3 linked regions of the Sus scrofa genome follow. The protein of the gene in region 3 interacts with the protein of the main gene of each other region in a pairwise test. Links are inferred from orthologs where the notes say so. Each region holds a gene or a part of one and is shown on either strand. Other genes may lie near its edges. The genes, in order: DIEXF, RAB39B and RUFY1.

Region 1 (4,212 bases), on a different chromosome or scaffold from region 3:
ATAATAGAATATAAAAAGTTACCAGGGTATAATCAGACAATAGAATGCTACTCCAATAATAAAAAGAAATAAACTCCTAATACAGGAATCACATTGGATGAGAAGCCAAGAAGCCAGATACAAAAGAGTGCTTCCTGTATACTTCCATTCATATGAATTAGACAGAACAGGCAAAACTCATCGACAGTGAAAAAAGCAGGTCAGTGCTTGCCTGACGCCAGGCCTGGGAAACCGGCTGTAAAAGCACCAGAAGAGATTTCTGTAGGTGTTGGAAAGGTTCTTCATTTTGTCCTGGTGCTGGTAATATATACACATTTGTCAAAACTCATCAAATTACATACTTGAGATGGTCACACTTTACTGTATGCAAATCACACCTCAATAAAGTTGATCTAAAGGTGAAAAGTCACTTAAAAGTCTGGGTGTGACATGGTCCTTTAAGCTTTTCAGTCCCAGTGCTTCCCTGGGGTCTTCCCTCAGGTATCCCATCAGCATGGTGGGACCACTTCATGTCCCTTCAACACCTTAGACCTAGCCATTCCATTCGAATCTGCTGCTTAAAAAGTTTTGTATATTGTATCGCTCTTACCGTAAACTTGGTTTCCCTATGGGAGGAACAATAATCTCTTTAAAAAATTTGAGACCATCACAAAAACAGAATTATGTTCTCTTTCCTCTCAATCAGGGGAACTTGAACTAGGATTGATGAAGTCCTGGAAATCATAAGCAAAAATGTCATTTCTGCATTTTTCTGGCCAGAGAGCCCTAGGTTTTCATCAGAGTCTCAAAGGTATCACCGAGCCCAGCAGGGTTAAGAATCTCTGCTTTGGGTCCGTGTGTTTTCACCCGGCTCACGCAGGACAGGGTGCCGCGCCCACGGGGCCAGCTGTCTGTGGTCCTGGCAAAGAGGAGCCCAGCAAAGACACTCACTCTCGCGCGTGTCTGCAGACTCTGCTGCCAGGTCTTCCTCCGCACTCACGTCGCCATCACCTTCTTCAAGATCCATTTCTGCCTCATCTACAACACTGCCTTCTTCCTCCTCTTCTTCCTCTTCTTCCTCTTCCTCCTCCTCCTCCTCCTCCTTGGAAACACTCTTTAACGTAGCGAGAAGTCTGTGATAACCAGAAACTTGTTCTGGTTCACTCTCCGCTTCACTTTCAGAACTCGAAGAATCTGAACTCTCTGACTAAAAGGAAAATGGGGATTTTAAAAACAAAATTCATATTGTTCTCGTTGCTACTCCATGACGACCATCAGGCCCACAGTGCAAGAGGCTGAGACTTTTCTAAATAAAAATTAGCTTCTCTGCAAATATGCAATCTTATCTATTCAACCAAGCCTAGCACCAAATTTATTTGATAGCTAATCTAGCTATGATTCTAGAAGCTCTTCATCTTCTTTGAATTGCTAATCTTGCACAAGGAGAAAGTCTAAAAACAGAGCTTAGGTTGTCTGTATTAACCTATGTGTCAGATATTTGGCACATTTAAAGGAGCAAGAGGAAAAATTGCAACAAAAAATGCAGTAGTTTTTTTCTGCATTTGTGGTAATAAGACCTTTGATGACTTCGCACGCTATTGTATGTTAAGCAAACAAGGCATTCCCCTCTTAAGACTCACCAAGAGCCCTCTGCTTAACAGGTCCTAACAAGCTAATCTCTCACGACAACGTCAAACTTTGGGTACTGTATTAGTTATCACAATGGCATTTTAACCAACATCTGCATTCAAAGCTAAGCAACATTACCAAAATAAAAGCTTACATCTAAAATCGAAAAGAACGCAAGTGCAGGCAAACTGTACTATTATATAGAACCTTAAAAGTAACAACCCAGAATCAGTTATCATAAAGAAGGCATAAAGCATTACCAGGTGACAAATCTGTGGTTTTGCTTCCTTTCTGGAAACCCTGAGAAGAAATAGGCAATGTTAAACTCTTAACTACTAGTATTCGGCAATTAATAAAAATGTCTAAAGATAGGACTTTAAGTGAACATGGCAGACATTATAAACACATCATAACTACAGTCACGTAAAAACTCCGTAGGTACTGGGACGAGGATTGTACGAATGTGCCAAATAGAAAATAATCGATAAAAAAAAAAAAGTTTAACAAGGTCACATGACAAATAGCAGTCACACAATACCTGGCTCTCATCCAAAAAATGGGAAAACTGTCAAATAAAAGTCTTCGGGGTTCACCACTTCCAGCAAGTCCCTCTAATTGTTGATAAAGCGGCCTAAAGTGGTGGGATGAGCACTAAAGTAGGATCATAACTGAGAGTCTGGACACTTACAGAGGAACCCACAACTACCGAGACATCAGTTCCGTCACTGTCATTGAATTGATCGGTGATGTCGAAGGTCCCACGTGTGGGACCAATCCTTGGAAAGCACGCACACACACAAATTCAGAAAACCAGCCCCATAAGGAGGCGTGCGGTCTAGCATAGAGTTATCAGCTCAAAGTTAGACCCGTGAAGAACCGCATCTCAGGCGGAAGCCGCCAGTCTTCCCAGCCGACCAAGGCCGGCGCGGGGCGCGCAGGAAGCGGCGGGAGCTGCCCCGTCCCCGTCCCCGTCCCCGTCCCGGGGACCCGCGGACCGAGCGCCGAAAAGCACGCGGGCTCCCAGCGGGAGAAGACGCCGGCTGCCCTGGCCCCAGCCGCGCCCCTCCCACCTGTCGTAGAAGGGATGCTCCTCGCCGAAATCGCGGAGATGCTTCTTCTGCTTCTTAGTCAGAGTGTTGATCAGCTGGCTCTGGCTCCGGCTCCCGCGTTTGCCCATGGCGATCACAACTTCGCCCCCTTCCAAGGGGCCCGCTTTTCACCTGGAAGTAATCTCGCCAACCGACCCACGCGGGCTCGCCGGCAGCGCTTTACGGCAGAAGCAGCGTGCCATAAAGCAGGCCCGCTTTACGTCGCGCTTGTACGACAGGCGTTAAAACTTCCTGGTTTCCATTCCGCCCCCTGGCGACGCTCTTTGGAAGCACATGTACGCACGCCCATTTTTTCTCTGAGCCCCAGAAGGAAGGCGGACAGGCTTCGGCTTCCCCAGGTGGGTACAAAGGTGCGTGGTACTTTGCTCGTCACTTTCGGTTGTGAGAATCGGCCTGCGTAAACGTGTAGTAGTGGAGGTGGTTGAATGCAGTGCCTTTATATTATGCCACAATAAAAACGCAACCAGCCTTTAAGGGTGCGGGAGCATCTCAAGACTCCTCACAGCAGTTGACAAATAGGTCTTGTTCAAAAGCCTGCTATTTTAAATGAGAAAAGGGATGCTTAGAAAGGGTTACGTGCACACGAGCGAAAGAGGAGCTGGAAACCCAAGTCTGCTGCGACCACAGGTTTTTTCCCCTAGGATGTGCCACAGGTGTGGGGAGGCAAGGCTGAGATTCGCACCCTTGCCCTTCCCCTTCCCCTCATTTTACTGAAGTATTGCAGGATCCCCGGTAACTCATCTATTCCGACATTTTTCATGGTACTAGAGCAGAACTCCATCCGGAGAGGTAAAGTGATTTCCTAAGTCACCCAGAGAGACGGTGTTAGAGAAAGCAGTAAAGCCCAATCAGGTGTCCCAAGACCGAACTCGAAGCCGGACGGAGCACTTTCAAAGGGGAAGTAACTGGAGCTTCCACTGTGGCCCCGCGGATTAAGGACCTAACATGGTCTCCGTGAGGATGCAGGTTTGATCGCTGGCTTCCTTCAGTGGGTTAAACATTTGCCATGTAGTTCACAGGTGCAGCTCTGATCCGGTGTGGCTGTGGTGTAGGCTGGCAGTTACAGCTCTAATTTGACCCCTAGCCTGGGAACTTCCATGGCAGGTGCAGCCCTTAAAAAGAAAAAGAAAGGGCAGGGGTGGGGTGGGGGGTAGTAACTGTTCTATATCTTGATCATGGTGATAGTTACACCTTGTATAATTAAGAAAACAGTACGTTTGAAATTGGTACATTTTGGCTGTGGCTAGGCCAGCGGCTGCAGCTCCGCCTAGCCTGGGAACGTCCATATGCTGCAGGTTTGGGCCTAAAAAGCAAAATAAAATAAAATAATAAAATAAAACAGGTACATTTTAATGTAAGCAAATAATAACCTCAAGAAACAAAGAGAAAAAACAAACACCAACTGGACTTAACACTCCAGAAAGGTGTGTGCTCCTTAAAGACCGCAGTATCCACACAGAGAGACACTATTCCTGAGAGTAACTTACAGTGTCAT
Region 2 (4,337 bases), on a different chromosome or scaffold from region 3:
GACTCGATAGCTTAAGGGTTAGGGCAGAACAAACACTGTCCAAGGAATTAAAGCCCAAGCTAACAAACCACACGAATGAGTTCAAGTCTCCAGAACCAGGCAAATCAGCCCTGGAAACTGAAAGCATTCCTAATTCCCTTATGTTTGAAGATTCATGGAGAATTGTAGGGGTAGCAGAAAATTCGACATGGACAAATACTTGGATTCATGAACAGCTTGGTTTAAGAAATCACTAAGCAAGCTGTGGTCAAAACTCGAAATACATGATTAAGGTTTTGTGAATATTTAGAAAGTTGCCAAGCCCTTTGTAAGTACAACATAAGGCTACATAAATTAAAGCCTTCCATACATAAAAATTGTCCTAAACAAACTTAAAGGACAAATGCAAAACTGGGGAAATATTTTACAATATCCGTGACAGAAAAGGATTACTGTTCTTAATATATGAATAAATGTTGGAAATATCACCCAATAAATCATAATCAGTGGCTATGAAAAGCCTGTCCATACAGAAAGAAATTCCAACAAACAGGAAAGATACCGTTCTTCACTTGGAGTATGAGAAATGCAGTCACAAGTTCAAAGGGAACATGTACGAGGCTGTCTGCGCAGGTGGGGAGGTGGAGACAACTCAAGTTTGAAATTTGCTTTTCTCCCAAGTCCCTCGTCAACCGCCTACCCAGCATCTTCTATGCTCAGTTAGTGTTCAGTAGGTAAGTGAAGGAATGATCCCAAACATGAGCTATTGCATCCTCTTGATCTAGTTCCTGTTGCTCTACCTGGCTTTGGCTCAAAGTTTTCTGTGTGCCCCGCTCTCTCGCGCACCTGTCTTTGCTTTGGTAATCTTACTCATCAGGCCCCATCTTCTCCGTTAGCCTACCCTCATCTGTGTTCACACGTATGATCACAAAGGACATAATACCACAAAGGGAAGCAAAGGATTGTTAAGAGAAAATTAAACCTGCTCGTTGATTTTTCAATATGTGCTAAGTGTTACGGAGGCAGCGGGCACACACATATGAACGGGGCACTCATTTTGTGTAATTGCTGATCTGCTCCCCGCCCCATGCTAGCACAGAAGTTCCAAGAGGGAACTGTCTGTGCCTGTTTGTTTACATGGCATCATCCCCTTGCATGAGTTTCCTCAGGCTGTTTCCCCAGAAACAAGTGCACTGTCTGGCATATAGTGGCTGATCATTGAATGCGTGCTGCTTGCAAGAAGGACTGGACCATCAGTATCTGTGTGTGTCTATATTTATATCTAGCTCTCTTTATCTCTATGTCTGTCAGTTATGTTAGGATGACCTGGGAACATTTCTGAAATGTAGCCCGGGGATGGAAACTGATGAACTGCAGAGATTGCCTCCAGCTAGTTTATTAGTCATCCAGGGGCAGCTTGGTGGAGTTTGGGTGTACTATTGACTGGCCTTCTCTGCTACGGCACATCTTTCCCTGCGCTGAACTCCCAGCTAGCTGAAGGTGGGCTTGAGCAGAAACCCTCAGACCCCGGGGTTTTGTCCCTTAGGGCACCCATCCTCCGCCCCCGGACCAAGACCAGGAAGTCCTCTTTCCTCCAGGTCTCTGTGCAAGCCCCAAAGACCCTCCCACTGCTCGAGGGCCCAGGCTGCGCTCCCACCTGAACCTCTCTTGACCCGCAGTATCCCAGATCTGGAGCTTGATGCGTTTTCCTGGCTCGATCTCCACCAGACGGGAGAAAAAATCCACCCCCACTGTAGGGTCTGAAACCTGGGCAAAGCGGCCCTCGGTGAAGCGGCGGATCAGGCAGGACTTGCCCACCGTGGAATCCCCGATGACAATGAGCCGGAACTGGTACAGCCAGATGGCCTCCATGGCTGGGCTCGGCAGGTCTCCGTGCCCCGGGCCGTGCGCGGCGAGACGGGGCGCCCGGCCGAGGCCTCGGAGAGTGCGGCTGGGTCCTGATCTAGATCGGCCGCGAGCGCATCGTTGGCCTGGAAGCCTGAGGCGAGGTAGGCCCAGGAGCAGAGAGAGCAGAGGGATGGATGCTGCGCTCGCAGAGGTGATGAAATGGCAGCAGCATCAGCACCACGCACTCTGACTCATCACTGACAACAGGGCTACTGTAATTCTCCATGTAGAGGCGACTCCAAGGGCCGCACTGTCTGTAAGAGGAGCGCACACAGAAATGGCCTCGAAAACAGCTCAGTCCTTTCCTTTCGCGTTCCTCCACTCATCCTTTCTTTTTAAATTAGAAGTATTCTCTGTCTTTCAAATTGCAAAAGTTAATAAGCCTTCATTAACACTAACGAAACAATACAACAATATACACAAAAACGAAAGTCTATAATTATCTGCTGCCTACCTCCCCAAAGATATTAACCGTTTGGTATATATTCTTCCACGTGTATTTCTATGAAAAGATACATACATATATACATTTACTGCTGTTTGATTTTACAAAAATTGTGTCACATCGGATCATTACTTTGACACTTGCTTTTTGCAATCGATAGAGCATCACAGACATTTTTCCCGTTCCCTTTTCCTTTTGCTGCAATTATCTCTCAAGTGTAGTCACATATATATTATCTCTATGACATGCAAGAAAGACCAGGAAGTCAAAGAGTATAAATATTTAAAATACTATAAATATGGGCATTATGCTTGGCAAAAATATTTAGCTAAATTTAAATTCTAGGCGGCAATGCGTGAAAAGACTATTTTTGGCATTATTTCAAGCATCATATGTGATACTCTTTCATAATACTTGCCAGTCTGATGTAGTTAATGGGATCATTCAATGTGTGGACTTTCGTAACTGGCTTCTTTCCCTTAGCGTGTTTTAGAGGTTCATCCACATCTCCTAACATGTATCAGGACTTCATTCCTCTTTATTTATTTTTATCTTTTTAGGGTCACACCCTCGGCATATGGAGGTTCCCAGGCTAGGGGTCAAGTCTGAGCTGCAGCTGCTGGCCTGTGCCACAGTTCACGGCAACGCCGGATCCTTAACCCACTGAGCGAGGCCTGGGATCAAACCTGCATCCTCATGGATGCTGTTCAGATTCATTTCTTCTGAGCCACAGTGGGAACCCCGCATTCCTTTTTATGACTGAATAATTTTCCCTTGTGTGACATACTACGTTTTGTTTATCCATTTTTCTATCGATGGACGATTGGATTGTTTCTGCCTTTTGGCTATTGTGAAGATTCTTGGACAAGTTTTTGTTTGAATTCATGCTTTGCACTTTTTCAGGTTTAAACCTAAGAGCGGCATTCCTGTGTCCTGGGGTAGCTCTATGTTAAGTCCCTTGAAGAAATGCCAGACTGTTTTCCACGGAGGCTGCGCCAGGGAAGACGTGTGTTCCCCGTCTTCTCCCAACGCTTGTTATTTTCTAACTTTTTGGTTCTAGACATCTTAGTGGGTATGAAGTGATAGCTGATTGTGGTTTTGATTCACATTTCCCTGAAGACTAGTGAATGTGCATGTTTTCACATTCTTATTGGCCATTTACATATCTTCCTTGGAGAAAGGTACACTCTGACCCTCTGCCCATTTTTATTTATTGATTTATTTATTTTAACTTTTTTCTTTTTTGGCCGGCCCGAGGCATATGGAGTTCCCAAGCCCGGGATCAGACGCCAGCCTAGTTTCAATCTAAGTTGCAGCGGCAGCGAGGCGGGACCCTTGACCCACTGTGCCCGGCAGGGGATGGATCTTTTGTCCCAGTGCTTTCAAGACGCTGCAGATCCCATTGTGCCACAGTGCCTATTTTTAAACTGGATTATTTATCTTTTTATTATTGACTTGTAAGAATTCTTTACACATTGTAGGTATAAGTCCCTTCTCAGATACGTGATTTGTAAATATTTTCTCCCATTCTCTGTGTCCTTTTTGAACTTTCTTAAGGGTGTTCTTTGAAGCACAAAGTTTTCAATGTTGATGAAGTAAAGATTATCTATTTTTTTCTTTTGTTACTTGTGCTTCTGGTGTCATGTGTAAGAATATTTTGCCAGATTCAAGTTTGTGAAGATTTACTCCTCTGCATTCTTCTAAGAGCTTTGTAGTTTTAGCTCATACACTTAATCTGTGATCCATTTTATGTTAATTTTTATATATGCTGTGAGGTAGAGGTCCAGCTGCATTCTTTTGCATGTGGATACCTAGTTGTCTAATCACTATTCGTTGGAAAGACGATTCTTTTCCCATTGATGATTTTGGCACCCTTGTTGAAAATCAGTTTACCATAGACTGGTTTATTTCTGGACTTTCAATTTCATTCCTTTGGACTATGTCAGGTCTTATGCCAGTACCACATTGTCTTGATTATTTGGAGTAAGTTTAAAAATCCGGAAGT
Region 3 (3,648 bases):
TATGGCTTTTTGGTATTTTTTTAAAGGTAATACATGGTAAAACAAAACAAACCTTACAAAAGAACACTCAGTGTAGAGTAAGTGCTCCTTCCCTAAAACTGTCCTCAATCCTACTGTATTTCAGAGTGTCTGTGCACGACATAGCATGACGTAGTATGTGCCTTCATCTCTACCCTCACAGTTTTCACACAAACCACAGGACATACACCCACACAAGGTTCTACATTGTGCTTTTTAGACTGATTCCTCCTCCTCCTCAAGGTTGAATAACAAAAGTCACTGAAGAAGGCAGTCCTTTTTAAAATTTGTTTTATTGAGGTTTAGTTGATTTACAGTGGTGTGTTAATTTCTGCTATAGAGCACTGACTCAGTTATATATACACACACACACACACTCTTTTTCATATTCTTTTCCATTATGGTATTTCACAGGATATTGAATGTAATTCCTTGTGCTACACAGCAGGACCTTGTTGTTTATCCATGAAGAAGGCATTCTTTAATTTTAAAATTATTTAGATATATATTTGCTATTAAGTAGGTGGTATGTATTATGACTTTCTCCATTGTTTTTCATGGCAAATTTTATTTTTCATGTATCAGAACACCCCTGTACAAATGATATAGTTCCTTCCAAAATGAAACACAAATAACTTTTTCATTTCACATTGCTGAACTCCTTAGGTTAGCCTTTGAGATAAGGGAAAATCCTGAAAATTAGGAAAGTGATGGTTTTCTTGTCAGTACAGAATAATACTATATCATAAGATCTTTCGAGACACCAAGGGCTATTCAAAACAAACTCAAATTTATAAAAAATCCAGTCACTTCTCTATAACTCAGAACCAGAACCCCCCGCCACATACACACACAAAAAGTCTATAGAACTCACTCCCTGGAGTACCCGTTGTGGCTTAGTGGAAATGAATCTGACTAGTATCCATGAGGATGCAGGTTCAAACCCTGGCCTTGCCCAATGGGTTGGCTCGGATCTGACATTGCTGCGGCTATGGCATACACTAGTGGCTACAGCTCTGATCGGACCCCTACCCTGGGAACCTCTATGTGGCACCGGTGCGGCCCTACAAATAATAAAAGAAAAAAACTCACTCCCTGACCTGAATACCAATTGTCTATACCAAAGGTTACAACAAATTTGCAACCCTCTAAGATGTCTATGGCTCATAGTTGCATTTTTTTTTCCTATCTTGCACAGTATAAAAGCACTTAAAATTCGCAGAAGAAATGCTAGAAGACTCTGAACGTGAAAAGCTGCTTGACAGCTGTAATAACTACAAACTAAAACATTATCCTTACCCCACCCCCACCCCACCCCAATCCCAAGTAGCAAACATTTAAAAGACTGAATGAGCTAGCGGCTGCGGAGAGGTGCGCGCCGGGCCGGGTCTTGTTTTTCCTGCCAGGACTGTTAAGGTTTATGGTCTACATTTTTAAATTATAGAGTGGCAATTTCCAGGGCTTGAGAGGACACTTCGTAAGCATTTGCTATGAGTATTTGTATTGATTGCAGACTTTTTTACTCTCAAAGCGACGATTGATGGAGTTGAAATGGGAAAGCAGCAGAGTTCATTTAATGCCAACGGTTTCATTTACAAAACGTGTGTAGAACTCGTAATTATCCACTAATTGTGGACGAAAGATGGGCAACGAGAAGCTGAGTCTGGAACTAAGGGGCGTAGGCTTCCCCGAAGACACCGACTATCACAGTCGGACGAAAGGGCTGACCCACTAAGCCGTCCCGACGGTGTGCAGACTAACCCGACCCATCCCGAAAACTGCCACCCACTGTCCCGGAACAGAGGAGTAAACATGGCGCCCGCAAACTCTGAGGGCGTGAGCTGAATGCCCCCAACAGGAATGAGAGTGGGTGGAGCGCTTTCCCGGCACGCCTTCCGGCTTGGGGCAGGGCTTCCTAGAGTTTCAGCCTTTTCATTGGTGGGAATTGTGCGTGGGAGAGACCAATCGCGGAGAATCTTGGTAAGGGCCGTCGCCGTAGCAACACGCGGAGCTACCTGGGAGAGGCCTCTGGAGTCTGACCCACAGTCCTAGCTACCAAGGTGCGGCTTTGACCTCCCTGGGTCAGAGACCGGCTGGCTGCTAACCCCAGTTAATCCGCACATCCCGCGCTTGGAGCAGACCGCCTGGACTGTCTTCCCTTCATTGTCCCGCATGTACCTTCCTCGCCGGAACAACACTCAGACCACTAACGAAGCTGTCCCTGCTTCTTGCCCTACAGCTTCCAAGAGCCAGATGATGGAGGAGCGTGCCAACCTGATGCACATGATGAAACTCAGCATCAAGGTCTTGCTCCAGTCTGCCCTGAGCCTGGGCCGCAGCCTGGATGCCGACCATGCCCCTTTGCAGCAGTTCTTTGTAGTGATGGAGCACTGCCTCAAACATGGGCTGAAAGGTGAGCCTTAGGGGGGCGTTTGGGGGGCGTGGAAATTCGGGCTAGCTGTTTGCTCAGTGTGTATTCATCAAAGCCAAACATTGTTTTGGGTGCTGGGATGACAGCAGCGCACAAAACAAGAGGGGACATTCTAGAGCAGCGCTGTCCAAATGAAATGCCATGCAAGCCGCATATGCGATGTCTAATGTTCTAGTAGCCACGTTTAAAAAAAAAGGGCGAAAACAGATGAAATTAGTTTTAATAACACATGTTATTGAACCCAATATAGACAAAATATTATCATTTTGACACATAATCAGCATACACCTTACTAATGAGAAATTACATTCTTTTCCATACTAAGGCTTAAAATCCACCATGTGTTCTACACTTACAGCACCTCTCCATTGCACTGGCTGCAGTTGAGGTTCTCAGTGGCGCTTGTGGCTAGTAACTGCCTTGGACAGCACAGTTCTAGAAGAGGAGACAGACAATAAATTCGGAAGCAAACATAATTACAGAGTGCTACCAATTCACGGAAGCAAAATGGGTCAAATGATAGGAAATCAAGGGAAAAACCTTTCGGCTAGAGCGAGAGAGGAAAGTCTTCCTGGGGGGAAATGTGAGCTGAGACTCACTGTGTTTGAGACTCATTGAGAAATGTGAGAAAGGAGTCAGTCATGCAAAAGATTTGGGGCAAGAGCCTTTCTAGAAAAACAAAACAAAACAAAACAGGCACAAGTACCTGAGAGGGACTAAACTTGCTTTGCAGAAGACACCAGGTGACTAAAGTGGGCTGAGAAGGAGGAGGGGAGGTAAGTCAGGGAAGTTGGGGTGGGCTGGATCACATAGGTTTTTATAGGTCAGGTGAGGAGTCGGATATTATTCCAAGGGTATTGGAAGGATTTTCAGCAAGGAAAAAACAAGATCTGACTTAGGGTGTTTTTTTTGGGGGGCGGGGTTGTCTTCTTTTAGTTTTTTTTTTTTTTTTAACCTTGACCTATGTGGAGAACAGATTGCAAAGGTGGAGAGGTGACAATATTAAGAGCAGGGACCCCCATTAGGAGGTTATTACAGCAGTTCAGATGAAAAATGGTGATGATTGAAATCAAGCCTTGATTTTGGCATCAGGTAGGAGAGAGAAACGGGAAGGATTTCACAGGTCATCATTTGAGCTGGTATTTTATTTCATGGATAATAAATACTTGGGAGAAGGCATAGTGAGTAGATCAGAGATA

The links.
Region 1: the proteins of RUFY1 (region 3) and DIEXF interact in binary tests that used the Homo sapiens proteins (3 or more experiments, as listed by UniProt). The link is inferred for Sus scrofa from reciprocal best matches to the Homo sapiens genes RUFY1 and UTP25.
Region 2: the proteins of RUFY1 (region 3) and RAB39B interact in binary tests that used the Homo sapiens proteins (3 or more experiments, as listed by UniProt). The two-hybrid records come from large-scale screens. The link is inferred for Sus scrofa from reciprocal best matches to the Homo sapiens genes RUFY1 and RAB39B.

The regions. Positions count from the first base shown.
Region 1 is NC_010451.4:133,138,365-133,142,576, forward strand, and holds the start of DIEXF (digestive organ expansion factor homolog), read right to left. Parts: upstream 2,895-4,212; 5' UTR 2,786-2,894; coding exon 2,679-2,785; intron 1,909-2,678; coding exon 1,869-1,908; intron 1,187-1,868; coding exon 931-1,186; intron 1-930. UniProt on the Homo sapiens protein: Component of the ribosomal small subunit processome for the biogenesis of ribosomes, functions in pre-ribosomal RNA (pre-rRNA) processing. Essential for embryonic development in part through the regulation of p53 pathway.
Region 2 is NC_010461.5:125,525,326-125,529,662, forward strand, and holds the start of RAB39B (ras-related protein Rab-39B), read right to left. Parts: upstream 2,929-4,337; 5' UTR 1,852-2,928; coding exon 1,637-1,851; intron 1-1,636. UniProt on the Homo sapiens protein: The small GTPases Rab are key regulators of intracellular membrane trafficking, from the formation of transport vesicles to their fusion with membranes.
Region 3 is NC_010444.4:79,014,978-79,018,625, reverse strand, and holds part of RUFY1 (RUN and FYVE domain-containing protein 1), read left to right. Parts: intron 1-1,443; exon of another isoform or gene 1,444-2,078; intron 2,079-2,257; coding exon 2,258-2,431; intron 2,432-3,648. UniProt on the Homo sapiens protein: Activating adapter involved in cargo sorting from early/recycling endosomes. Regulates retrieval of proteins from endosomes to the trans-Golgi network through interaction with the dynein-dynactin complex.